Canis lupus familiaris: one gene and its partners. The protein of the gene in region 4 interacts with the protein of the main gene of each other region in a biochemical or structural test. Links are inferred from orthologs where the notes say so. Each region holds a gene or a part of one and is shown on either strand. Other genes may lie near its edges. The genes, in order: GUCY1A2, WWTR1, KCNA5, SNTA1, SCN5A, DGKZ and SLC16A7.

Region 1 (3,500 bases), on a different chromosome or scaffold from region 4:
ATTCTTAGACATTTTGAAATCACTGAATTTAAGTGATGAAAAATGATAAATCACAGGACCCAGTCATCCTGAATAAATGGGCATCCTTTCCTATTTCTAAGTATTTTGTTGAAAACTTTTCCATTGAATTTCAAAATTATAAAAATCGGTTCTAAAATGAACACTATATAAAATCCTCAAAAATGTCTTTGGCTCTGCTTTCAGGTTAGTCTCTCGTTTACTTATTATGGCAGGTGTTCCAGAATATGTGATTACTCATTCATTGAGTTTTTAATCATCTCTTCCTTTAGCCCAGAGCAGCCTGTTTATTTCAAAAAGCCACAGCTTTCCCCAAAATGCTTGGGAACAAGCCGAATTGCCTATTAAGAACTTTATTTTCCTCATATAAAATACTGAAAATCTCTACTGGAAGCTGAACACATGTACATTCAAATGTCTACTCGGAAGAACATCATCTATATTACTTATTATTATATTTTAAAATACTGTATTTTCTTTACATTTTATTATTTTAATGTTGATTTCTCCTAAAAGAATTTTTTTTTTACCTAAGGGAACATGTTCGTGTAAACTAATATAAGATTCAGCTTTTAGCTTTTCATTTCTTTGTAATTTATCACCCAGATTTTCCAAAAAGGGATTCAAAGAAATTCACAATAATTCCTCGTGTTCACTGAGTTCTCCAAGCAGTGAGCATGTTATAAAGGAAGGAGTCTGTTTCAATACTAAAATGTATTTAGAAAAGAAGCCCTGAGATTGTCACTTAATTTTCCAACTTTTAGAAAACGTATTATTCTGCAAACTGGGACAAAAATAGGATGTGAACCAGATGTTCCTAGATATGAAGTTTAGAGCAGAGCACAGTCATAGCGGAGCTAGCTTTTCACCCATATTTATTTTAGGAGGAGGCAAGTGGGCCCCACAGTGTGGGATTCAGTCCTACTATTTCTCTTCTAGTTTGACTTCAACTGGTGGAAATATTCATGGGTTTACAGTATCAGGTTTCTAGCGAGTCCTATCATTTTTGTAATTACTATGGCTGGTATTAATAAGCGTCTTCTTTTTACACGCTGAAATAAATTAATGGAAAAGGCAGACACTATGCAAAATGGCTGGGAATAAGGCCAAATCTTTTTACATACATCCAGGGACCAGTGATTTCCTAAATGGCACTTTGAGCTCTCTTGCCTAAATAATTACAAGTACAGCCAGCATGTAATTTACTGAAATAATTATGCACTCCTTTCAGTTCCCATCACCCAGCTCAAGCCCCTGGCCATTTACCTTGTCTTTATTTTCAGTGCCAGAAGCCTCGGGCTTGGTCCTGATCACAAACGGGGTGGACAACCGCAGGAGGACCCTCTCAAAGGTGGCATTCACCCTGGGAGACACTATCTCGAAGCAGTCCTCAAACTTGAGCACTTTGTGAGTGTCACACCGCAGCTGCTTCCGGAGGCCCTCCCCCAGCTGCAGGACTGACATGTGGGGGTCAAACATCAAGTGGAAAGGGAAGGCTCTGCAGAAGGTGCTGATGCTGATTCTGAGGTCCGCAGGGACATGGGAGGTGCCCTGTGCAAGGTTCTTTGTGATGGTGGTATTTTCACATTCTTTGATGAGGAAGGTAAGACAGCTACAATTGCCTGGGTTCGAGCCATCGGAGCACAATTTCTCACTGGCAACCTGTTCCACTTGCAGGTCCAGCCGGTAGATCTTCTTGCCAGCGGCCTTAATCATCCCTGGCATAGCAAACCCCACGACATGGTGAGGATGGAAGTAGTGGAGCACTAGAGTTCCTTCAGGGAGCTCTTTGCATAGGAATGATGGTGACTCCAGAGTGGCCTGTTTTCCAAAAGAAGTTCTAATGTGTTCCAACAAAGCATCAAAGCCATTAAAAAAGTCCTGCAACGTGCCACCCACAGCTCGAAGGACTCTCTCATTCTCATCAAAGCATATATTAAAGAACTCCTCTCCAAATCTTTCTTGAATTTCCTCAAACTTCAAGCCTAGGGGTAAATGGGAAGGAGATGTTAGGGAAGTAACATAAAATCATCATATTTATAGCTTTTAAAAATGCTTATCAAAAAAAATGCTTATCAAATGAGGTAACTAGTGAGTGAGGTAAGAGAGGTACTTCCTTCCCTTTGACCCACATATTCCCAAAGAGATTAATTCATTTTGAATCAGAGAAAGCAAATTTCAATTCATCTTCTAGAAGCTTCTAAGGTGTTAGTGAGCATAAACTTCTTTTAATATTTCTGTTTGTTTTTAAATAGACTTTATTTTTTAGAGCAGTTTTAGATTCACAGCAAAATTGAGGAAAAAGTAAGGATATTTTCCACAGAACCCTCTCCCAGCAAACACACAATCTCACCCTTACCCCAATATCAGTCATCATGCACTATGGTGGTACATTTGTTACAATCAATCACCCTACAATGACACAGAATCATCTCCCAGAGTGGGTAGTTAACACGAGGGTTGACTCCTATTATTGTACATCCTTGGGTTTGGACAAATGCGTTACTATATGTGCCTACCATTATAACATCATACAAAGTAGTTTTGCTGCTGTAGAAATCCTCCGTTCTCTGCCTTTTCATGCCCCACCCCTCTCAACTCCCATAGCACAAACTTTCTAAATGCTGCTCATCTAGCCGCTCATTTTTCTTTTCAATATCCTACTGCATTTGCTATAATCAACACAAATAAGATTTTCTTAATGATTTCCCTCTTAGTTAAAGCAACTTTTTAGAAGCAACTATAACACTGTTTCTCTATTACACCCACCTACTATTACTATCTTACTTATCAAAATTCATTTGTTAAGTGGGAAATACCAACCAGAGAGGGATTTATGGTTACCTGAATGGGGAAAGGCATCAGATTATCTAGTGTCAACAGAAGGACTTAAGTGAGACCCCAGTGAGAGAGAGACCAAACAAGGAAGTAAAATGACAGAACTATGGGCTGATTTGCATTGTTTCACTCACAAAAATGAGACTAGCCAAGGGTGGAGTAGGCATCTCACCAGAAAGAGTTAAAACCCTTTGCTTTCTCCATTCATACTTCCACATGCCATGGCAAAAGGAACTCTATATTATAGCAATGGAATGATAACAAAAAATACATACATACATACATACATACATACACACATACAATACATTATGTAGAAATTAGAGCCAGTCACATGTGATCAAGTTAGATCCACCCTTAAGGATGATCTGAGGAAAAATATGGAGAGAATTTATGGTCCAAAGAGGAAGGATACAGCACATATATAAGAACTGAATGTGTGTGCTGAAGGAAACCTCTACATGGAGTCATTCTACTACTTATCCTTTGACTTTGGCTGAAATCAATACATGTAAGTTTACGTATTCATATTTTCTTGCCTCATCTACTCCATCTTATAAGGAGATCCTGAAGATAAGGCAAGATTGGGAAAAGACAGTGGTCATCTTGCTAGTGTCCTATTAAAGTACAGAGCAGTCTTGGTT
Region 2 (2,302 bases), on a different chromosome or scaffold from region 4:
TGTGACTTGTACACATTGTGAGAAAAGTAGATAGTTGTATGGTGCCAGGTGTGTGTGTGTGTGCGTGCGCACGCGTGCGGGGGAGGGGGTGATGTGCAGAATTTGCTTTATAAAATACTTTGAAAACGATCCCTAGAGCCATCGATGAAGACAGCTCTTTAATAACATGGTTAAAGTAAACTCCTAAGTGTTGTCTTTGAACATAAAGAGGAATGACATGGATAAATATAAGCTTAACAATTAAGTCCTTAGAGTATAACTCGATGATAAGGTATTTATTACGGGGTGGGGGGCCCTCTACTCTTTCACAAAACCGCTCTTCATGCAGCTGTCATGGGAGGGCATAGACCACAGGTCCCATCCACAGGGCCTTCCTGTGCTTTTCTCCTATCTTAGGCTTATCCCTTCTGGGCAGTGTCTTCCGGGACAAATAAAGATTGACCCGGCATCTCTGCATCTCTTATGAGTGAGGATCACCAACTCAATCCTAGGAAGGTGGTAGCTGTAATTTTTCACAGAGGTGAAATATTTTAGACCTGCAGTGATAGAATCTTCTGTTTAAATGTAAGCACTGTGGAAATGAAGATGAGAGTTGTGTTAATGCTTCAGGAGCTTAAAAAAACGGAATTAAAACGATCTTCCTTTGTTCTGTTATAGGAGAAAATGCAGGACAGACACCCATGAACATCAATCCTCAGCAGACCCGTTTCCCGGATTTTCTTGATTGTCTCCCGGGAACAAATGTTGACCTAGGAACTTTGGAATCTGAAGATCTGATCCCCCTCTTCAATGATGTAGAGTCTGCTCTGAACAAAAGTGAGCCCTTTCTAACCTGGCTGTAATCAATACCATTGTAACGTGGATGCAGCCGTGACCTGACATTTCCTGGGCCTCTTGGAAAAAGCAATGGAGCAGAGTAAGTCTGCAGGTGTACCACTTTCTGCCTCCATGACTCAATGCTCCCTCCTTTCCATGCGGCCAGTTTAATCATTGCCTGGATTTGATTGACAGTAACTTAAGTTAAACGCAAATGAATGCTCTATTTTCATTTTCTGCAGGCCTGCATCCCTGTGATGGGCTATGCAAGAATTGCTTCTGCAGAACTGAGAATGCAGAATTGCTTCTCTGTTTTTCTCTCTGCTGCCCCATAACTAAGCTTTAGGGGTGTCAGTTGAAATTTGTGCATCCATTGATTATAAACCATAAAAAGCCGACCACAGGCAGTGACTTGTGACAGGCAGCTCGGTCCAGGAAATGTACACGAAATTAGACCTGATTTGCAGTTTTAAAAACTGTATTAATGACAGTAGTACCAAATGCTTTAAAAAATATTTAACGTGAGCTTTAAAAATCATTGTATGGATAGTAAATCTCTGCTGTATGGAATACAATGTAGTTTTGAATCCATGCTGGTTCTGATGGTTCTTTTACTCTGTATCTGCAAAGGCACACATGGTCCTATTGTAGTTTGGCCTTCCTCATTACTTTACTGCGTAGTGTCTAGACAACTCTTCCTTCCAGCAGGAGAGGAGCAGGAACCTGAGTCACAGTTCCTACACTTACAGATCTTATGAAAGAGACCAGTTTGGTACTAATTATGAGCATTTGTTAAACAAAACTTTTGTTTTTTAATTACAAGTTGGATTTTTTAAAAAAATTGCAGCTTAGAATTTGATGTTTATTTTATAAAAAGCACTCTAATTTTGTAGCTGATGACAAAGGGCAGCCAAATATTTTTGATCAATCAGTGGCAACTGTATTTTTGTCTTTTGAAAACTGTTCTGAAAACATCAGGACAACATAGCTTCCAACCTGACAGCGCACACAGTAAACTGTTGCTTTTTAAATGCTGAAGCCTTATCAGTTTTGCTTTCCAGATTTCAAGTGTTTAAAATACTCTTATCTATGAAACTGTTTGAAGGATGAAGCAGATCTCTGACTGACGTGTAAAAAAAAAAAACAACCCTCTGAAGGGTGTATGGTGGAGACACGTGTTTCTGAATTCAGCAAAATTGATTCCTAAGTATGTTATCCTAACCGTGTTTGCTACAGTTGGTATAAAAAGGCATGAAATATGTACTCAATACCTCTTATGTAACCAAAAACATTTTTTTTTTATTAGCTTTTAAGGACTGAGAGAGAGCATCAGGTTCCCCCAGGCATGCAACTCTGTCTGCATTGCCAATGAAGTCCTCGATTGTTTAATATTTTGAACTGACATTATTTATAATCTATGAATTTAATATCTTTTTGGAAAGACATGAATAGTTCAGGTCTCTGAGAGGAACCTTCAATTCCCAAG
Region 3 (3,431 bases), on a different chromosome or scaffold from region 4:
ACTCCTGCCCCCTACATACCCCCCCGCCCCCCCCCCCCCCCACACACACACAAAGCTGCAGTTGCCAGCTCCAAACTTCACCGGAGAACAGCTCTCTTCCTCTCTTTCTCTCTTACTGGATTTTGCAAACCGGATTTATGCAGAGTGAGGAGTTATATGTCCTCAGGAATAGGAGACCAGGCAGTGAATTTGTCCCACGGGCCATGACTCTCTGGACTGCGAATCAGGGCTGTCCCAGGGCTATGGCAGGGGGTCACTGCCAGCTGTCAGCCGGTTACCTTTGGGTGGGAAGAGAGAGGCTTCTACACCTTGGTCTGGAGGTATCTCCAGCCCTAGGTATCTCTAGATCTATAGATCCCCAGGGCCCATAGCTCTGCCCAGCCTCTTCTTGTCCATAATTCTTCCCCAAGAAGATGGAATGGTTAGTTACTCCTCCAAAGGAGGATTGTAAAAGGGCTGTTATTTCATGTCTCATCCGTCCAACCCAAGGCAGTTCATTTCCCCTGGAGTCCACTTGGCGTTCAGCGGGTTCCCAGGTGAACTGAAATCCACAGCTATTCTCATCTGGTTGCCCTGGGAGTTTTGGCGCTGTCGGTACAACCTGTTCCTTCAGCCTCTCATTCCCCCCCCTCCCTCCCCCCACCTCCAGGCTGCTCCCTTCTCCGCCACACCCCCCCCCCCCAGTCGCCCCAGGCCCCAGCCGTGCCCTCCCTCCGGGGAGACACCCGCTGCTGGAGACCCAGGAGGGGACGCGGGGGAAGGAGGAGGGGAGGGGACGGGGCGGGGTAGGGAAGAGGCGGGAGAGCCGCGCTGGGTGGAGGCCGAGGCCGAGCGCCGCCCCGCAGCCAGAGAGGGGCGGCTGAAGGTTGCATCTGCTGGAAGGAGGCTTTTGGCTGCCTGGTAACGGGCTGCCGGAACGGAGAGCGGAGAGCGAGGCAGCGAGCAGGGCAGCAGCTTCCTGACGTCAGGGCCGAGCCCGGGGATCGCGCCAGCAGCCCCAGCCCGCCCCGCAGGGAGGCCGGCCGACGGCTGGAGAAGAGCCTGAGCCACGCAAGGCGCCCAGCCGGGCGCGAGCGGGGGCTCGGACGCCGGTCAGTGGGGGCGCAGCATGCCCCCTGCCCCCCGGCCATGGAGCTCGCCCTGGTGCCCCTGGAGAACGGCGGGGCCATGACCGTCAGGGGAGGAGGTGAGGCCCGGGCAGGCTGTGGCCAGGCCGTAGGGGGGGAGCTCCAGTGCCCCCCGACGGCTGCGCGCGGCGCCGGCCCCAAGGAGCGGGAGCCCAGGGAGCGCGGCCCGCCGAGGGGAGCGGACCCCGGAGCGCGGCCTCTGCCAGCGCTGCCTCTGCCTCGACGGCTGCCCCCGGAGGACGAGGAGGGAGACGGCGACCCCGCCCTGGGCCTGGCGGAGGACCAGGTGCCGGGCCCGGGCTCGGGGTCCTTTCACCACCAGCGCGTCCTCATCAACATCTCCGGGCTGCGCTTCGAGACGCAGCTGGGCACCCTGGCGCAGTTCCCCGACACCCTCCTGGGGGACCCGGCCAAGCGCCTGCGCTACTTCGACCCCCTGCGGAACGAGTACTTCTTCGACCGCAACCGGCCCAGCTTCGACGGCATCCTCTACTACTACCAGTCCGGGGGCCGCCTGCGGAGGCCGGTCAACGTCTCGCTGGACGTGTTCGCCGATGAGATCCGCTTCTACCAGCTGGGGGACGAGGCCCTGGAGCGCTTCCGCGAGGACGAGGGCTTCATCAAGGAGGAGGAGAAGCCGCTGCCCCGCAACGAGTTCCAGCGACAGGTGTGGCTTATCTTCGAGTACCCGGAAAGCTCCGGGTCCGCCAGGGCCATCGCGATCGTCTCGGTCTTGGTCATTCTCATCTCCATCATCACCTTCTGCTTGGAGACCTTGCCCGAGTTCCGGGACGAGCGCGAGCTGCTGCGCCATCCCCCGGGGCCCCCCCACCCCCCTGGGCCCGCCCGGGGGACCAACGGCAGCGCGGCCCTGGCGCCCGCCTCGGGCCCCACGGTGGCGCCTCTCCTGCCGCGGACCCTGGCTGACCCCTTCTTCATCGTAGAGACCACGTGCGTCATCTGGTTCACCTTCGAGCTGCTCGTGCGCTTCTTCGCCTGCCCCAGCAAGGCGGAGTTCTCTCGGAACATCATGAACATCATTGACGTGGTGGCCATCTTCCCCTACTTCATCACCCTGGGCACCGAGCTGGCCGAGCAACAGCCAGGCGGGGGAGGGGGTGGCCAGAATGGGCAGCAGGCCATGTCCCTGGCCATCCTCAGAGTGATCCGCCTGGTCCGGGTGTTCCGCATCTTCAAGCTCTCCCGCCACTCCAAGGGGCTGCAGATCCTGGGCAAGACCTTGCAGGCCTCCATGAGGGAGCTGGGCCTGCTCATCTTCTTCCTCTTCATCGGGGTCATCCTCTTCTCCAGTGCCGTCTACTTCGCAGAGGCTGACAACCAGGAGACCCACTTTTCCAGCATCCCGGACGCCTTCTGGTGGGCAGTCGTCACAATGACCACGGTAGGCTATGGGGACATGAGGCCTGTCACTGTGGGGGGCAAGATCGTGGGCTCGCTGTGTGCCATCGCCGGGGTCCTCACCATCGCCCTGCCTGTGCCCGTCATTGTCTCCAACTTCAACTACTTCTACCACCGGGAGACGGACCACGAGGAGCAGGCCGCTCTGAAGGAAGAGCAGGGCAGCCAGAGCCAGGGGACAGGGCTGGACAGCGGAGGCCCTCGGAAGACCAGCTGGAGCAAGGGGTCCCTGTGCAAGGCTGGAGTGTCCCTGGAGAATGCAGACGGAGCCCGAAGGGGCAGCTGCCCCCTGGAGAAGTGTAACCTCAAGGCCAAAAGCAATGTGGACTTGCGGCGATCCCTCTATGCCCTCTGCCTGGACACGAGTCGGGAAACGGATTTGTAAGGGGGAGCCCCGGCAGAGTGGTGGTAGTGGGGTGGGGATAGCAGAGACCTCCTGAGCCGGGGTACTGACTTTATACCACGGAGTATTTCAAGCCCACCTTGAAGTCTGTCCCTCTTTAGACTTCTCTCCTTCCCTCCCTCCCTTGATCCCCCATTTTTCCTCTTCTTTCCATGACACCAAGGGTCGCCTATTTTTAAAAAGTACCACATTCCATGACGCAGGAGCTGTTGAAATGGTGAGCACTACGAAATGGATGTATTTGTAGCCAGTTCCCTATACCCAGCAGAGGGATAACCCAAACAAAAAATGACTTTAAATAGCCAAGATCCCAAGGGATTTTGTAACCCCCTCCATGTGTTCCAAATTTGCTTTACATATGATTTTATTTGTGTATAGGGGAAAATATTATTTTTATGGCTGGTGAGTGGATTTTTGTACTGTAGTTCAGATGGAGATATTTTGGATACATTTTCCAGAAATGCTGTATTTATGGAAGAGGG
Region 4 (3,500 bases):
TCTAGGGATCCCTGGGTGGCGCAGCGGTTTGGCGCCTGCCTTTGGCCCAGGGTGCGATCCTGGAGACCCGGGATCGAATCCCACGTCAGGCTCCCGGTGCATGGAGCCTGCTTCTCCCTCTGCCTGTGTCTCTGCCTGTCTCTCTCTCTGTGACTATCATAAATAAATAAAAATTAAAAAAAAAATACTCTGGTCTAATCCCAACCTATAGGGAGACTGAGGGCCAGAGAAGGCAAGGGTCTTACCCAAGGCTAGAGATTCATCACAGAGCAGACAGATTTTAGAAACTGATTTTTAAAGAGTTTGTATGAACAAGACTCTCCTCCACCAGATAATGAGCTCTTTCAGGAGAAGGCCTGGGTCTGATTTAGCTTCTGACCCTGTGCTCTGCACACCAGGTACATAGTAGGTGTCTATAAATGTTTCTTGACTTAGTAAGGAAAGAATGGAGTACAAGAATGATACAGAAGGCTTGGGTGTTAGCTCCTGAAACCAGAAGCCTCAAGCTTTCAACACTCAGAGACGCTGTCTTCTCAGAATGACCCATGCTGAGAACCCAGATAGACATTCTCAACCTAAAGACGAGAAGATGAGGGGGATCTCAGTGTGCATTAGAATTGTGTCTACAGTAGAAATCTTACCATCTACAGGTTAAACTTTCAAACAGCATAAACTAAAAGATCTTCTCAAGTCAACCAAAATATAACATTTTGATGAGTTTCAACTGCATTACCAGCAATAAATATCAAAGTAATGAGGCATGGGGTGGGGAGAGTCTTTTATATCCATATCATCTCTCAGTGATCTTGTTATTTAACTTTGCTGTTAAAATATGACTGTTATACTTAAGCTTCAAGGACCAATACCACAGAGTTGACTTTTTTTTTAAGTATATATTTTAAAAATGCACCACTGTCACTTAAAGAGGTACACAAAAATGTAAAAAATAAAACAAAACCAAGAGAGAACTGAGGTCAGGGCCATAACACACCAAAGATCACCCAAAGCCTGTTTGTTTCCGTGGCCTCTTGGAGACCTGTTTGGGGAAACAAAGGCAATCTATCAGGATCCAGGCCTGGGGCTCAGCTCAGCAGCTACACTAGCCATGGCATTCTCCATCAGCCCCCGCCATCTCCCTGTGCCTGTTCTGGGCCTAGAGCCAAACACACATTCCTCGGGCCCCCACAGCTTCCGGAATTGATAGAGGGGAGTTTGAAGAAAGGGCTGAGCAAAGCAGAAACCTCCTAAGAGAGATAGCAAAAGGCAGATGAGGGACAGCCACAGCAAGAGGCTATCACAATCGATGGGGAAACCAAGGCCCAGAGAAGATAAAGGTATTGTCCAAGACCACATAGTGTGAGCATAGTGGAGGAGAACCACAAAGCCCCCCATCAAAACTCCTCTCTGATCCTTGCTGGAAGGATCTGATGTTCTGCAACATAAAGGTCAAGTCTTCTCCCACAGGAGGATGGGTCTCAGGGTTTCAGGGTCCCTGGAGCTAGGAACTCTCCAGTTTCCTCAAGAGAGAATATTAGCTGCTCCTTCCCCAGTCTCTGTCCCTCTCCTTCCCTGATTCACTCACTGAGTGGCAGATCCTGCCATGTACCTTTTGTCCTGAACACACAACCCAACAAAACAGAAGTGTTACATCCCTGGTTTTTGTTTTGTTTGGGTTTTTTTGTTTGTTTGTTTGTTTGTTTTAAATACTTTATTTATTTGACAGAGAAAGAGAGACTCAGAGAGCATGGGAAGTGGCAGGCAGAGGGAGAGGGAGAAGCAGGCTCCCTGCTGAGCAGAGCCCAATGCAGGACTCAATCCCAGGACCCTGGGATCATGACCCGAGCCAAAGGCAGACACTTAACCGACTGAGCCACCCAGGTGCCCCCACATCCCTGTTTTATAGATGAAGAAATTGAAACTCAGGGAAATGAAATGACTTGTCCAAGTCTACAGAGCTAATGAATGGGGGAGAAAAAATGAAAACTAGATCTGTCTGGCTCTATACCGGCTCTCCCACCACCACCCTGTACTGTGTCAAAGCAGGTCCCCATGTACAGCTTCTGTTTTCAACCCTGCTCACCTCTCAGTCCCCATTGCTGGACTGGGGCTACTTAAGGCCTAGAGGAGGCAGGAGACAATTGAACACCCGTAGGGTCCCCAGTGCTTACCCTCCAGCACCACCTCTTTGCCTGTCTTCTTCAAGACCTGCACCGCCTCATCATGGGTAGCAGAGGAGAGATCCTCCCCATTCACAGACAAGATGGCATCTCCCACGAAGAGGGCCTCAGTCTGGTCAGCTGCCAGGCCCTTGAAGATCTTGGAAATGAGAATAGGCATCTTGTTCTCCCGGCCCCCTGCATGGGCACAGAAACAGGAAGAGACTGAAGCAGATGCTCCAATGCTTAAGAGTCCCACGAAGGCAAAATTATTTCTGAAAGCCTACCTCGGCGCCCAGCCCAGTGCCAGGAAAGCGGGGATGAGAGAGTAAAGAGAATCTCAGAAAGGAGTCTTACAAGTCTGGAACACTAATAAGTCATTTTCTAAATTCTTTTTTTATTTTATTTTATTTATTTATTCATGACACAAACACACAGAAAGAGGCAGAGACATAGACAGAGGAAGAAGCAGGCTCCCTGTGGGGGGCCTAATGCGGGACTCAATCCCAGAACCCCAGGATCACACCCTGAGCCCAAGGCAGACACTCAGCCACTGAACCACCCAAGTGTCCCTCGTTTTCTAAATTTTTTTATGTATATATTTTTTATTGGAATCAATTTGCCAACATATAGTATAATACCCAGTGCTCATCCTATCAAGTACCCCCCTCAGTGCCTATCACCCAGTCACCACAGTCCCCCACCCAACCCCCCTTCCACTACCCCTTGTTTGTTTCCCAGAGTTAGGAGTCTCTCATGTTTTCTCACTGTCTCTGATTTTTCCCACTCATTTTCTTTCCATTTTCTAAATTCTTAATGGAGTTTGGTCACTGGATCATTGGTTAAATGCTTTGGGTGTTCGCCCGTGTTTGAGTAACTTACAAGTGCTTCGATAGCTTTTTCTTAAATATTTAATATTTTAAGTTATTTTCCCCACAACGGGGGAACCCACTGATACCACTTAATCTGGAGTAAAGATAGAAATCAGTTATTGCTATGGCCCCCCAAGGACCTCTTCACAATTGGAAAGTTTTACAATCCAGGACCCAGCTGAAAACCAAGGCCTGAAAGTCTAGATTTCAAAAGCCTATCCAGATTGCATCTCTGATGCAAAAAAAAAAAAACTTAATACAACTTACTGAATCACTTTATGGCTGAGATCTTGAATATCCTTTTAAAACATAAAATAGGGACACCTGGGTGGCTCAGCGTTTAGCACCTGCCTTCAGCCCAGGGCATGATCCTGGAGTCTCGGGATCAAGTCCCACACGGGGCTCCCTGCATGGACCCTGCTTCTCCCTCTGCCTGTGTCTCTGCCCCTCTCTGTGTGTGTCTCCCATGAAT
Region 5 (3,500 bases), on a different chromosome or scaffold from region 4:
TGCCCCCAGCAAGGAGACCACCCCGTTGCAGTCCACGGTGCTGTTCCTTTTACCATTGAGGGCGGGAGCCGAGGTCCCTGGACTGAGCTGTCCCTGGGCACTAGGCTGGCGCAGAGGCCAGGGCACCAGTAGGGACGTGCGGTGGCTCTCGCTGTCTCCCGCTGTACTGTTTTCATCATCTGCAAAATCTGTCTCCGAGCCCAGGTCTCGCCTGCGAAAGGTGAAGATGCTCCCACGGCTGGAGCGTGGCTTCACGGAGGTCCTGCTGAGGCCATGTGTGCTGCTCAGGCGATTCTGGGGATACAGGGAGAAGGCACACCACCAAGCCAGCTCTTTATGTGCTCCCAGCCTATCCCCTGTGATGTTCTCGGAGACTGAGAGGTTGTCTCAGAGCAATGAGAGTTTTTTTGTTGTTGTTGTTTTGTTTTTTTAAAGCAGGCTCTGTGCCCAGCAGGGCTTGAACTCATGACCCTGAGATCTAGACCTGAGCTGAGATCAAGAGTTGGATGCTTAACTGACGGAGCCACCCAGGCTTCTGCTGGCCACTCGGGAATTGGGGGCGCTGAGCCAGGGTGTGTTCACAGGAGGGGGTATAGTTGGTCCTGCATCATCTGGGATCTCTGCTCACTTAAAGCTTGTGCCTTTGGGGCTTTGAGATCCAAATTTACCTGGGCCTGAAGCTGTGGCTGTGGCTGGGCAGGAGAAGAAGGAGGCACGAAAGCTTCTGGTGGTGCAAACAGGCCTGGCCTGAGCAGGACCTGGGGCCATCAGCCATGTACTTGACTCAAATGGGTATGTCTTTGGGTGCCTACCAATCTACACCACAGGGTAACCTCTGGTCCTAGCCCCAGCCCCAATGCTGGTGACATCACAACACCCAAACCTAGCTGGTGTCTCTGCCCAGACCTCCTCCACTCCAAGAATGGTCATGGGAAACACGGAGGGCTGGAAGGGGGCTCAAGGATAGTCTCCTTGGGGAGCAACCACGGGGGGCTGCACCAGGGGCCCAACATGATGGGCTTTTGATGCCAGACCCACACTGAAAGGGTCAGAGCCACGGCCGGGGATTACCATTGCTCTGGGACCATCCTCCGAGTCGGACTTGGGGAACCTGTCATCCCCACACTCCTCTGTCCCCGAAGACATTCGTTTTCTCCTCTTGCTTCTTCTCTCATGTGTGGTTACTGGGGCCAAAGGGGACATCTCCAAGGAGCTGCGGGACACAGTGTCCACACCCCTGATGGTGAGGGCCTGGAAAAGGTGGAAGAGGGGTGTTTTGGTTATTGAGACTTTGTGCAGCCTCAGGCTAAGGCAGGCCGAGCAACTCTCAGTATCTCCATTTCCCCATCAGGAAGTAGACTTGCACACTTAACCCCAGACCAGAGTATCATGGAGAGATGAGCTCAAACAGACCCAGCATGTTTTGAAAAGAATCAAAGTCCAGGGAAGAGGAAAGAAGTGGCTGATGTGGGCAGCTCTAGGAAGAGGGGAGTGTGAGGGACAGTTGAGGTGGGAGGATGTTGGTGAGCAGAGGAAGCAACAGAATTAGAGGGCAGGACATCTTCTAGAAGGTTCAGTTGGCCAAAACTGGTGATGGGGGAGGTAGCGTGGGGCAATGAGAAGAAAGTGAATGCCTACATGGCTTCTAACAGCTTGGTCTGTAGTTAGCCTGCAGTACCTGTGTGTGGAGTGATGGGTAACCAGGGCAGCACTGCCAGGGCTTATTTTCCGAGCTGGGTCAGGCTTCCGACCTTGGACCTTCCTCACCAAGCTTCCAGAAGACATCCCTTGACTAGGATAAACTCAGTCCATGGACATGTGGTTCTCTTTTATCCAGCATGCATTAGGTTCCTTTACACAGGAGCTACCACCTTTACCTGGCAGCCACCATTTTTACCCAGCTGGCACTGTTTTCTCTGAGAAGACACCATGGTCATAGGGAACACTTTCCTCAGCAGGCACCACACTCACAGCACCCACTTGCACCCAGTGAGACTTTTACCTAGTAGGTGCCTCATGAACAGGCACTGTCCTTAACCAGGTACCAAATTTTCACCTAGCAGACACTACATTCACATGAAATACTTTAACCCAGTAGACGCCAGCATCGCTCAACAGTAACTGTCTTTTATCCAGTAGATGCCACACGTGAAGGCACCAGCTTTTCCCAGCATGCATCACATGCGCAGACACCTGCTTTACCCGGAATGCATCATACCCACAGACACCTGCTCTACCTGGCATGCGTCACATCTGCAGACACTAGCTTTACCCAGCATGCACCATGCTTATAGGCACCAGCTTTATTCAGCAGGCACCATGCCCACAGGCACCAGGTTTGCCTAGCAAGTAGAAGGTTAATAGGTATCAACTTTACCCAGCAGGACCTGCCTTTTATCTATAGATGCCACACTTACAGATAGCAGCTTTACCCAGCAGGCACCAGCTTTACCCAGCATGTACCAGGTTTGTAGGCACCAGCGTTACGAAGCAGGTGTCATCCCCATAGGCACCAGCTTTGCCCAGCAGGCACCAGGTTCATAGGCAGCCAGAATCAGGTGAGGACTTGCTTTGGAGGCTCCTTGGCTGCATGCTCACTCACCTCATGCTCTTTCTTGAGCATCTCCATGGCCTCCTGGAAGCGCTTTTCCTTCTCCTCTGTCTCAGCAATGGTGGCTTGGTTTTGTTCCTCGTAGGCCATGGCAACCACAGCCAGGATCAGGTTCACCAGGTAGAAGGAGCCCAGGAAGATGACAAGCATGAAGAAGATCATATAGATCTTCCCTGCAGACCTCAGGGTCTGGGGGAGTAAGGCAACAGAGGTTATCTTCACTGGGGCCCTTTCTGGGTCATGGTCATGGTCTTGGAATTTCAAGTTGTCCAGTCAGGCTACGCCAAGAGTTCAAATGGCCACAGCTTGGGGAGGAGTAGAGCATATCCTGCCTATAGAGGTAAGTATTCTAACCCATAGAAAAGAATGACCTACATGCAGAGGATAGTGTCCCATCCATGGAGGGAGGCAGAATGTTCCAGTCGACAGAGGAAATGTTGCATGCATAGAGGCAACTATTCCATCATATAGGGCAGAGAAATGTCCTACTCACAGAGCACAGTGAGCCCCATACAGAGGGAAGGGTACTTGGTTACCAGCAAGAAGTTTCTTTGCTTGCTGTTCCCATTCCTCAGATGCAAGGGTTCCTGTCCCTTATTCCTTGAGCCTCCCCAGCTCTTGCCAGTGGAGAAGCTGCTGGGGCCTCTAGCTAATCACCTGTGCATCCTGGTCCCTAGCCAGTTCCTGGTGTTCCTCCCGCCCATGCACCCATGTACCTGCTGGTAGAGGCGCTCCCAGCAGTCCTGTGTCATTAGGCGGAAGAGCGCAAGGAAGGCCCAGGCAAAGGAGTCAAAGCTGGTGTAGCCGTGGTCAGGGTTCTCCCCTGCCTTTAGGCACCGGTAACCCTCGGGACATGTCCTGCAGTCAGACACACAGACTCTGTCCCCTG
Region 6 (3,500 bases), on a different chromosome or scaffold from region 4:
AGACCAAGAAGAGCCAGGCAGTCTCGAACACTGGTTCCCCAGGCACACTGCCTCCGTTGTTCCCTGGTCACAGGAGCTCAGACACCTTGGCCCTATGTGCCTCTCCCTAAATACCTCTGTACCCATCCAGGGCTTCAGCCTGGCATTGCTTGCCTGGACTCACAGGGTAGTAGCAGATTAAAGAGTGGGTGAGTGGGTGATGGGAGAAACAGGCAGTCGGCACGTAGCTGTGGGCCTGGGTCCTCGAGCCCTGCATCCACCACCGTTTGTCCAAGGCTCCCACCCACCATGCCTGACTTCCTCTAGGCCCTTAGCAGGTGGCCGTATGTCTCTTGCTGGCCCCAGGCAGATGTCCCATGGCTGTGACTTGGACCTCTCTGTGGCTGCCAGGGCCCAAGAGATCACTTGGTGGTGGGATACAGGCCCTGGGCATTCTGGAGGCATCCTCCCTACCCCTGCCCCAAGTATACCTGGCTTCCTGCCCTTCCCCCACTGTTTGGAAGAAGTGAGGGTACAGTAATCCCAGCAGCCTGTAAGAAGGGGCAGCCAGGAGTAGATGAGCTGGCGAAGGAGGCTAAGAATGGGTCAAGGGAGGGTGGTTTGAGTAAGGATAGTCCCCCACAGGAGGGAACTCTGGGTATAGAGTTGGAGCTTCTAGCATTGGTCCCCAGGACACAGTGCAGTTCACAGGCTCCCTTGGCAGCAGGGCTGGAAGGGTTTTCAGACCTCACCCGTCACCTGGTACTTGCACACATGGGAGATCCGTCCTCGGCGTCTCCAGAAAGGTGAGACAGAGCAGTCTAACATCAGGAAAGGGCCTGCTTTTAGCCCCTCAGAGATAGAGATGCACACCCAGAACACACCTGAAGGCTTTCCTCTTGGCTCAGGCCTCTCATAGCTTCCCATGTAGAGTCCCCATGGTTGAGGACTGGGGTGGCTCTCTCCCTGTATAACTCCCCCAGTCTGAGGGCGTTGGTCACCAGAGCCCTTTGATCCCTAAGTCAGATCTTCCCCTTGTCTGGTGCCCAATCTCTGCCTGACCCCACGGTTTGGGGCTGAGTCTAGGGGTCTTATCTGGACTGAATTTCCTTTCAGAGAGCCTCCTTTTATTACCATAGCTTACTTTGTGCCATGTCCCAGGAGGGGACACCTAAACCTAACCTGCTCTCAGTTGGTAGCTAAAAAAAGGCCCAATGAGAGGGCGGGGAAAAAGGCTTCTCCTTGGCCCCTCAGTCTGTAGAAGCCAACTGTACACTGGAACCCAGGACGGTGGGCTTCCAGTTTCCTTTTTTTCTTTTCCATCAGCTTCAGGCAAGGGAGTCAAAGGCCAGGGCTTTGTGGTTTATGATGCCTGGACAGGGGAGCCACATGGGTGGCTGGAAGCCCCTTGTACTCGTTACTCTTGGGGCAGCAGAGGGTATAACTGGGGAGAGCGGTAGTGCTTCCAACAGTGGTGCCTGTGGGCTCCCCTGAGGATTCCGTGGTACCCTCACACGACCTATTTATGGAGGTCAGAGGCCGTGGACCCCTCCTTCTTCCTCCCTGTGTCCCTTCTCTGTTCAAAGGGTAGAGGCCATGACTGGGCTCCAGAGCGTAGGATGGGCCAGAGCCTGGCCCAGCTCCTGATGCTCCCGGTCTCTGCCCAACAGCCCTCCACCTGCCCCTGGCATGGAGACCTTCTTTAGGAGACGCTTCCAGCGGAAGGAGCCAGGCCCCGGGGAGGGGCAGCGGCGGCCCAGCAGCGTGGGGCTGCCCACAGGCAAGGCCCGGCGCCGCTCCCCTGCTGGACAGGCCTCCTCCTTGCTGGCACAGCGGCGCCGCTCCAGTGCACAGCTCCAGGGCTGCCTCCTGAGCTGCGGGGTGGGGGCCCGGGGTGCCAGCCGCCGGCGCTCCAGCACCGCACCTCCTGCCTGCAACCCCCGCTTCGTCGTGAATGAGGTGCCCACCGCACAGCCTGCCACTGTTGGGGCGCAGCTTCTCAGCACACCCTTGCTGTTGGCTGGGCTCATAGGCATGAATGAGGAGGAGGAGGCGTCTCGGGAGGAGGACGTGACAGTTGCGGCATTGAGTGCCACCCAGCTGGGCGCCAGGAGACTGGGCCCCTCCTTGCACCGGGGCACCCTCCTGCCTGTGCCTGGCTGTCTGCGCCGGCGGCGCCGAGCCTCCTCCCACCTGCTCCCTGCTGACGTGGTGTATGACTGTGCCCTCTGGGGCCTGCACGGTTACTATCGACGCCTCAGCCAGCAGCGGGCCCCAGGCCCACACCCCGGCCCTGGGGGCCGAAGAGCCTCAGGCACCGCAGCTGGCGCTCTGCTGCCTGCCCGAGTGCGCCCGCTGTCCCGCAGGCGACAGGTAGCCCTACGGCGCAAGTCGGCGGGACCCCAGACCTGGAGTGCCCTGCTTGCGTAGGTATAGCTGCGGCCGGCAGGGCAGGTGTGCAGACCCCGAGGAGGCTGGCCTGGAGGAGGGACCTCGAGGCTCTACCTGGCCTGAGGGCCCCCTTCTTGGGAATAGCTCTGGATAGTGCCTGGAGGCCAGCCCACCCTCCAAGGGCAATGAGGAGGGCTGAGTCTCCTGCTGGGAACTGCTTAGGTTCCTAGGCTGCTATGGCACGGGTGTTGTAGTCCCTGCCTTGGCCAGGGGTTGAGGTCACGGTGAGGGCAGAGATCGCAGGTAACACGAGGGGAAGGAAGTAGAGTTACCAGGTGCTCAGCTGGCCTCAGCGATCTCCTTTTCTGTAGGAAAGCCATCACCAAGTCGGGCCTCCAGCACCTGGCACCCCCTCCTCCCACTCCCGGGGCCCTGTGCAGTGAGCCAGAGCGGCAGATCCGGAGCACTGTGGACTGGAGTGTGAGTGGCAGGGTGCTGGGAGGGAGGGACAGGTGGGTACCAGCCCCTGCTGGGCTTGGGGGGCTGCTGCGGGAGGAGCCCATGGGCCTTTGGGGTCAGGGCAGACCTCCTGGGGTAGCCCGGTTTGAGCCAAGCCCTCAAGAGCGGGGAGAGTGGGAGGAGCCCCTGGCTGGCTCAGTTGGTAGAGCTTGCAGCTCTTGATCTTAGGGATTGTAAGTTCAAACCCCACGTTGGGTGTAGAGATTACTTAAAATTTTTTTAAATCTTCAAAAAAAAGAAAAATGGGGACAGTGGGGAAACAGGATGGAGCAAAGTAGATTGTGGTGGCTGGTTTATCTTGGGGGAGAGGTGAGTTGGCAGGGCAGGGACTGACGTGCTGGGTAGCAGGTTGCTCTGAGCATGCTCATCTCATGGTCTAGGAATCCGCGACGTATGGGGAACACATCTGGTTCGAGACCAACGTGTCGGGGGACTTCTGCTATGTTGGGGAGCAGTACTGTGTAGCTAAGATGCTGGTGAGTGAGCTCTGGGTGGCATGCTGCCCCCTGCTGGTGGAGCGAGTCTAGAAGCCTATGGACAGACCTGCAGGCCTGACAAGGGAAGATGGGAAGACTCTCACTTGACACCCCTGCTGTGGGCTGCCTGAGGAT
Region 7 (4,124 bases), on a different chromosome or scaffold from region 4:
GTTAGTAGGATATATGTCTCCTTTGCTCCATTGAGAAGGAAATTGGTAAAAAGCTAATAGGATATTGTGATGCGCACCGGGTGTTGTATGAAAGTGTAGAACCACTATATTATACACGTGAAATTAATATTACACTGTACGTTAAGTAACTGGAATTTAAATAAAAACTTTTAATTTTTTTGACAACAACAAAAGTATAGGAGGAAGATTAACCCGGATGGCCACATGTGAATTTTTTGAGAGCGGAATGTCAGCCTCATCCATCTTGATAACCACAGTGCAGTGTCTGGAATGGTGCAAGGGGTTCAAAAATTGCTAGTCTGTATTTTAGCTGTTTTCTCTATATGTTATTCCTCATAATAGCACTTTAGGGTAGGTAGCACCAACCACATTGTAGGGATAAGAAAAACCGAGGAGGAGATTGTTAAATAATTACTTAACCTTACAAAAGTACGAAATTGACCTTGAAGTCTGTGTCTAACTCTGAATGTCTCAAAAAAAAAAAAGTTTAGTGAATGAAGAGAGACGTAAAAGTAAATGCAAGAGTCTCCTTTTATTCCAGACTCATGATCCAGGAATATGACTCTGGATAAAAGATATTTCTATAGGTCAGTCTGCCCTTCTTCCCTTCAGGAGGGCTCCCGGGTGAAAATGTAAGCCAGATATTATAAAAGAGTCCATGCGTCTCCAGAAAGAGGCTGAGCATTTATGGGAGGATTCAAGAGCTTGAATATTGGGAAACCAACGTTAAAACTCCAGATCACTTACCATTATTAAAACACTCCCTGGGGGGAAAAGCAGTATGTAACTGCAAACTGCTGATGTGAGTTTTGGGGGAAAAAAAAAAAAAGCCCCAACCGCCTCTGACTTTATGAGTTGTTACACAACACACCGAGTTGCTTAAGGTAATAATCTTTCCCTTTCACTGAATCACTCGGTTGCCTGCCCGCTTAGATTGCTTTCAGGGCAGTGTGTTCAGAAGCACAAAGTGGAGCTGCGATCGCTCTAGGAGGAGCCCAGAAGGGTCACCTTGTTGACCTCCTGGCTCCCTCTTCCACGGTCTGCAACCCCCCTCGGGCTCTGGGTCTCAGCCCTGGGTCTCAGCCCCGCTCCCTGGAAATGCACGCTTGGAGCTGGAGGCTCCCGGAGATCACCCCGAGGTCTGCAGCGCTTCTGCGCTCACCTGCGTGCGGCCAAGGCAGCGGCGCCAGGGAAGGGCGTCCCGCGTCCCCGCCGGGCCCCCCAGGCTGCTGCCCTCACCCGGGCTCACTCTCCTACGGCTCCACGGCGCCTCTTGTTGGACCGGGAAGGGGGGCGAGGACGTAGGCTACGAGCTCTCCTGCAAACACCAGCGGCCTCCCTCGACCCAACCCACTGGGCGCCTCTGCTCCTGGCGGAGTCACCTGCGGGGAAACCGCGGCTCGCTTCCTCGGTGTGCGCGTGCGCGCGTGTGCGACTTCCACATCCCCGCAGTAGACCCCAAACCCCGCAGCCCCCGGAAAGCGGCCCGCCCCGGCCGCCCCCGCCGAGGCCGTGTGCAGCCCGTCAGGTCGCGGCCGCGCTCCCTCCGCCCCACGCAGGCCCCCCGCGCCCCGCTCTGCAGCCGGAGGGGACCGCGACGCCTCCGCCCCGTTGCCGCCCCCCCCCCCCGCCCTGCACCGCCGCTCCCCGCCGCCGCCGCGCCCGGGGCTGCCCCGGCCCGCACGGGACCCGCCGTCCCCCGCTCCCCGCCCGGGGCCCCTCGGCGCCCTGCCCTGCGCGCCCCTGCCCTGCGCGCCCTCCCGCGGCCGCCCGGGGACCGGGGCTGTGCCTCCGCGGGGCCCCGGGGCGCTGCCCTGACCCAGGCGTGCGGCCCCGCGGAGGCGCGCCCCCGCGCCCCTCCCCTCCCCTCCCCCCTCCCCTCCCCCTCCCCTCCCCGCGCCCGCGGCACTTACTTCACCCGCCGTCCCGCACCCCGGGGCGCCGCCGCCCCCGCCGCCGCCGGCTCGCCGCGCCGCCACCGCGTGGATGGAATTATTTATTTATTTATGTCCCTGGACTCGTCCTCGCCCCGCGGCCCGGGGGGGCGGGGGGGAGGCGGAGGGAGGCGCGGCCCGAGAGCGCCCCAGTGGGTGCCCGGGAGCGCGCGGGGGGAGGGGGGAGGGGAAGGGGGAGCCCCGCCCCGCCCCGCGACTCGGGGCCGACTGAGCATGCTCCCCGCGGCTGTGCCCCCGCGGACGCGGGCCCGGGGCGCGGGGACTCCGGGGCGTAGCTGGGGGCGGCAGCGAGCTAGGCGGGGAGCCCGCGAGCGGGGCGGGGGGCGGGGGGTGGGGGGAGGGATGCGCGGGGGGGCGCGGAGGGGAGGGGGCTGCGCGGGGGGTGGGGGGCGAGGGAGGCGCGGGGGGGCGGGGGTCGGACATCCCGTCCCGGCCGTGGAGGTGTCCGGGGGCCGCCGTTGGGACCGAGGTGTTCCCGGGCGCGGGGAGGAGCGGCAGTGCTGGGGATGGGGCCCCCCACCACGACACCTAAGGGAAACCTAACCCTCACCCCGTGGGGCGCGGGGCACAAAAACTAGTGCAAGAAGACCCCGAACCAGGAAAGAGGCGAAGGAAAGCGCCCGTGCACCGGCCGCTGCATCGTAGCCCCCGAATCCCTTCACTCCGCCAAGGGCGAGTCCGACCTGCCCACGAGCCGTGCCCGGGCTCGCGCCAATTCCACAACCGTCGGTCTGGTTTCCTCTGCCCTCTTTTTCCTTCCTCCACCGTCCAGAACACTCTTGGGGCAGCCGGAAAGAGGAAGGGCTGGGACTGAACGTTTGGTGACACCAGAGATCAGGTTCCTTAAATGTCTTCACAGCTGAAGTCCTGCTCACACAAAAAGGAACCTTTAAAGCAACGCGGGCTTGAACTTGCGAATTCCTGTTGCCCTGTTTCTGGCGACTTAGCAGACCCTCACCTACGTTACACACACATCTCTTTTCAGGGGGACAAAGGCAGGGGTGGGGAGGGGTGGGGGGGGGGGTGCTCAGAGTGTCCTCCTGGCACTGGCTGTTTCCCAAGTAACTTTAATTCAAAATAATCACTGTGCCAAAGTGGCATATTTCGGGGTGGCATTATCTGCCCCCCTTCACAAATTAAGTCACTTAGCTAAATTCACATTGCCTTGCTTCGGCCACAGCTGGTTTGTGGGCTTATTACAAAACTGGAATGGTAGTTTCTGTAGCTACAAAATAGAAGCAATATCAACCCATTATTGCTGTCGTAAGATTTAGGTGAGATGATACATGTGTAGTAGATGGTAGATAATATGAGTGAATAAATGTTGCCTATTATTAGGCAGTTTACAGAGGGAGCTTGGAAGTTTGGGAGTTTGGAAGACATTTTACAGAGGGAGTGATGTTGGAAACTAAGGAACTAAGGCAGAAAATTCCAGAAAGGACTAGCTTTTCTTGGACTAAAAATGTGTAAAATGACATTTATATAAAATGTGATAGGCATACGAGAGTAATAGAATGTCTAACAGTGACTATAGACACTTCATTTTCATAAGAAAAAATAATGTTAAAGTTTGAAAAGAAAACACTAAGTAAGACACATCTCCAGGTCATGTTCTTGAGTGTTTGCTATTGACATTTTTCCTGCTCATTCATTACTCATTTCCTTCCAAAGAAGAGAAAGAAGACCAAAACTTTCCTGAATTTTGACCCTATTCTCTACTTTCTTTTTGATTTTTTTTTCTCCCTCTCTCTCTCTCTCTCTCTCTTTTTTTTTTTTTTTTTTTTTTCTGTATTTGTTTGCTTGTTTTTACAGACCCATGTTCTTGGTCTATTTAACTCATTGTCAGATTCCTAAACGTCACTAACTAGCATGCATGAATGCATGAATCATAACTGTAGTTTTCTTTTAAGTCTTGTTTTTCCAACAATTAAAACTCTGGATCCAATTTACCTACTACCCCAGTGTTAGTATTTGAGGATTCATCTTTAAATTGCCTTATTGCTATGGCTAGTCATGCTACATAAATATTTGATTGTATTAGAAAGGAAGCTGAAAGGAGAATTAGGTGGGAATAAATCCAGTCAATTTATCCTATGACTTATAGTCTTAATATTATCCAGAAGCTGAGAAGAGAAAACAATTTAGAGA

Evidence for each region.
Region 1: the proteins of SNTA1 (region 4) and GUCY1A2 interact in a test that uses a peptide from one of them, tested with the Homo sapiens proteins (3 studies listed by BioGRID and IntAct, with this or other methods). The link is inferred for Canis lupus familiaris from reciprocal best matches to the Homo sapiens genes SNTA1 and GUCY1A2.
Region 2: the proteins of SNTA1 (region 4) and WWTR1 interact in a test that uses a peptide from one of them, tested with the Homo sapiens proteins (2 studies listed by IntAct, with this or other methods). The link is inferred for Canis lupus familiaris from reciprocal best matches to the Homo sapiens genes SNTA1 and WWTR1.
Region 3: the proteins of SNTA1 (region 4) and KCNA5 interact in a test that uses a peptide from one of them, tested with the Homo sapiens proteins (2 studies listed by BioGRID and IntAct). The link is inferred for Canis lupus familiaris from reciprocal best matches to the Homo sapiens genes SNTA1 and KCNA5.
Region 5: the proteins of SNTA1 (region 4) and SCN5A interact in a test that uses a peptide from one of them, tested with the Homo sapiens proteins (2 studies listed by BioGRID and IntAct). The link is inferred for Canis lupus familiaris from reciprocal best matches to the Homo sapiens genes SNTA1 and SCN5A.
Region 6: the proteins of SNTA1 (region 4) and DGKZ form a complex in vitro, tested with the Homo sapiens proteins (2 studies listed by BioGRID and IntAct, with this or other methods). The link is inferred for Canis lupus familiaris from reciprocal best matches to the Homo sapiens genes SNTA1 and DGKZ.
Region 7: the proteins of SNTA1 (region 4) and SLC16A7 interact in a test that uses a peptide from one of them, tested with the Homo sapiens proteins (3 studies listed by BioGRID and IntAct, with this or other methods). The link is inferred for Canis lupus familiaris from reciprocal best matches to the Homo sapiens genes SNTA1 and SLC16A7.

What each region holds. Positions count from the first base shown.
Region 1 is NC_049226.1:25,391,692-25,395,191, reverse strand, and holds part of GUCY1A2 (guanylate cyclase soluble subunit alpha-2), read right to left. Parts: intron 2,004-3,500; coding exon 1,285-2,003; intron 1-1,284. UniProt on the Homo sapiens protein: Has guanylyl cyclase on binding to the beta-1 subunit. Isoform 2 acts as a negative regulator of guanylyl cyclase activity as it forms non-functional heterodimers with the beta subunits.
Region 2 is NC_049244.1:44,798,029-44,800,330, reverse strand, and holds part of WWTR1 (WW domain-containing transcription regulator protein 1), read left to right. Parts: intron 1-657; coding exon 658-842; 3' UTR 843-2,302. UniProt on the Homo sapiens protein: Transcriptional coactivator which acts as a downstream regulatory target in the Hippo signaling pathway that plays a pivotal role in organ size control and tumor suppression by restricting proliferation and promoting apoptosis.
Region 3 is NC_049248.1:6,280,333-6,283,763, forward strand, and holds KCNA5 (potassium voltage-gated channel subfamily A member 5), read left to right. Parts: upstream 1-1,128; coding exon 1,129-2,931; downstream 2,932-3,431. UniProt on the Homo sapiens protein: Voltage-gated potassium channel that mediates transmembrane potassium transport in excitable membranes. Forms tetrameric potassium-selective channels through which potassium ions pass in accordance with their electrochemical gradient.
Region 4 is NC_049245.1:23,164,404-23,167,903, forward strand, and holds part of SNTA1 (alpha-1-syntrophin), read right to left. Parts: intron 2,355-3,500; coding exon 2,169-2,354; intron 1-2,168. UniProt on the Homo sapiens protein: Adapter protein that binds to and probably organizes the subcellular localization of a variety of membrane proteins. May link various receptors to the actin cytoskeleton and the extracellular matrix via the dystrophin glycoprotein complex.
Region 5 is NC_049244.1:8,568,210-8,571,709, forward strand, and holds part of SCN5A (sodium channel protein type 5 subunit alpha), read right to left. Parts: intron 3,470-3,500; coding exon 3,328-3,469; intron 2,801-3,327; coding exon 2,603-2,800; intron 1,252-2,602; coding exon 1,072-1,251; intron 295-1,071; coding exon 1-294. UniProt on the Homo sapiens protein: Pore-forming subunit of Nav1.5, a voltage-gated sodium (Nav) channel that directly mediates the depolarizing phase of action potentials in excitable membranes.
Region 6 is NC_049239.1:43,525,240-43,528,739, reverse strand, and holds part of DGKZ (diacylglycerol kinase zeta), read left to right. Parts: intron 1-1,649; 5' UTR 1,650-1,668; coding exon 1,669-2,405; intron 2,406-2,741; coding exon 2,742-2,850; intron 2,851-3,269; coding exon 3,270-3,365; intron 3,366-3,500. UniProt on the Homo sapiens protein: Diacylglycerol kinase that converts diacylglycerol/DAG into phosphatidic acid/phosphatidate/PA and regulates the respective levels of these two bioactive lipids.
Region 7 is NC_049231.1:3,690,422-3,694,545, reverse strand, and holds the start of SLC16A7 (monocarboxylate transporter 2), read right to left. Parts: upstream 2,801-4,124; 5' UTR 2,660-2,800; exon of another isoform or gene 2,412-2,659; intron 1,988-2,411; exon of another isoform or gene 1,935-1,987; intron 1-1,934. UniProt on the Homo sapiens protein: Proton-coupled monocarboxylate symporter. Catalyzes the rapid transport across the plasma membrane of monocarboxylates such as L-lactate, pyruvate and ketone bodies, acetoacetate, beta-hydroxybutyrate and acetate.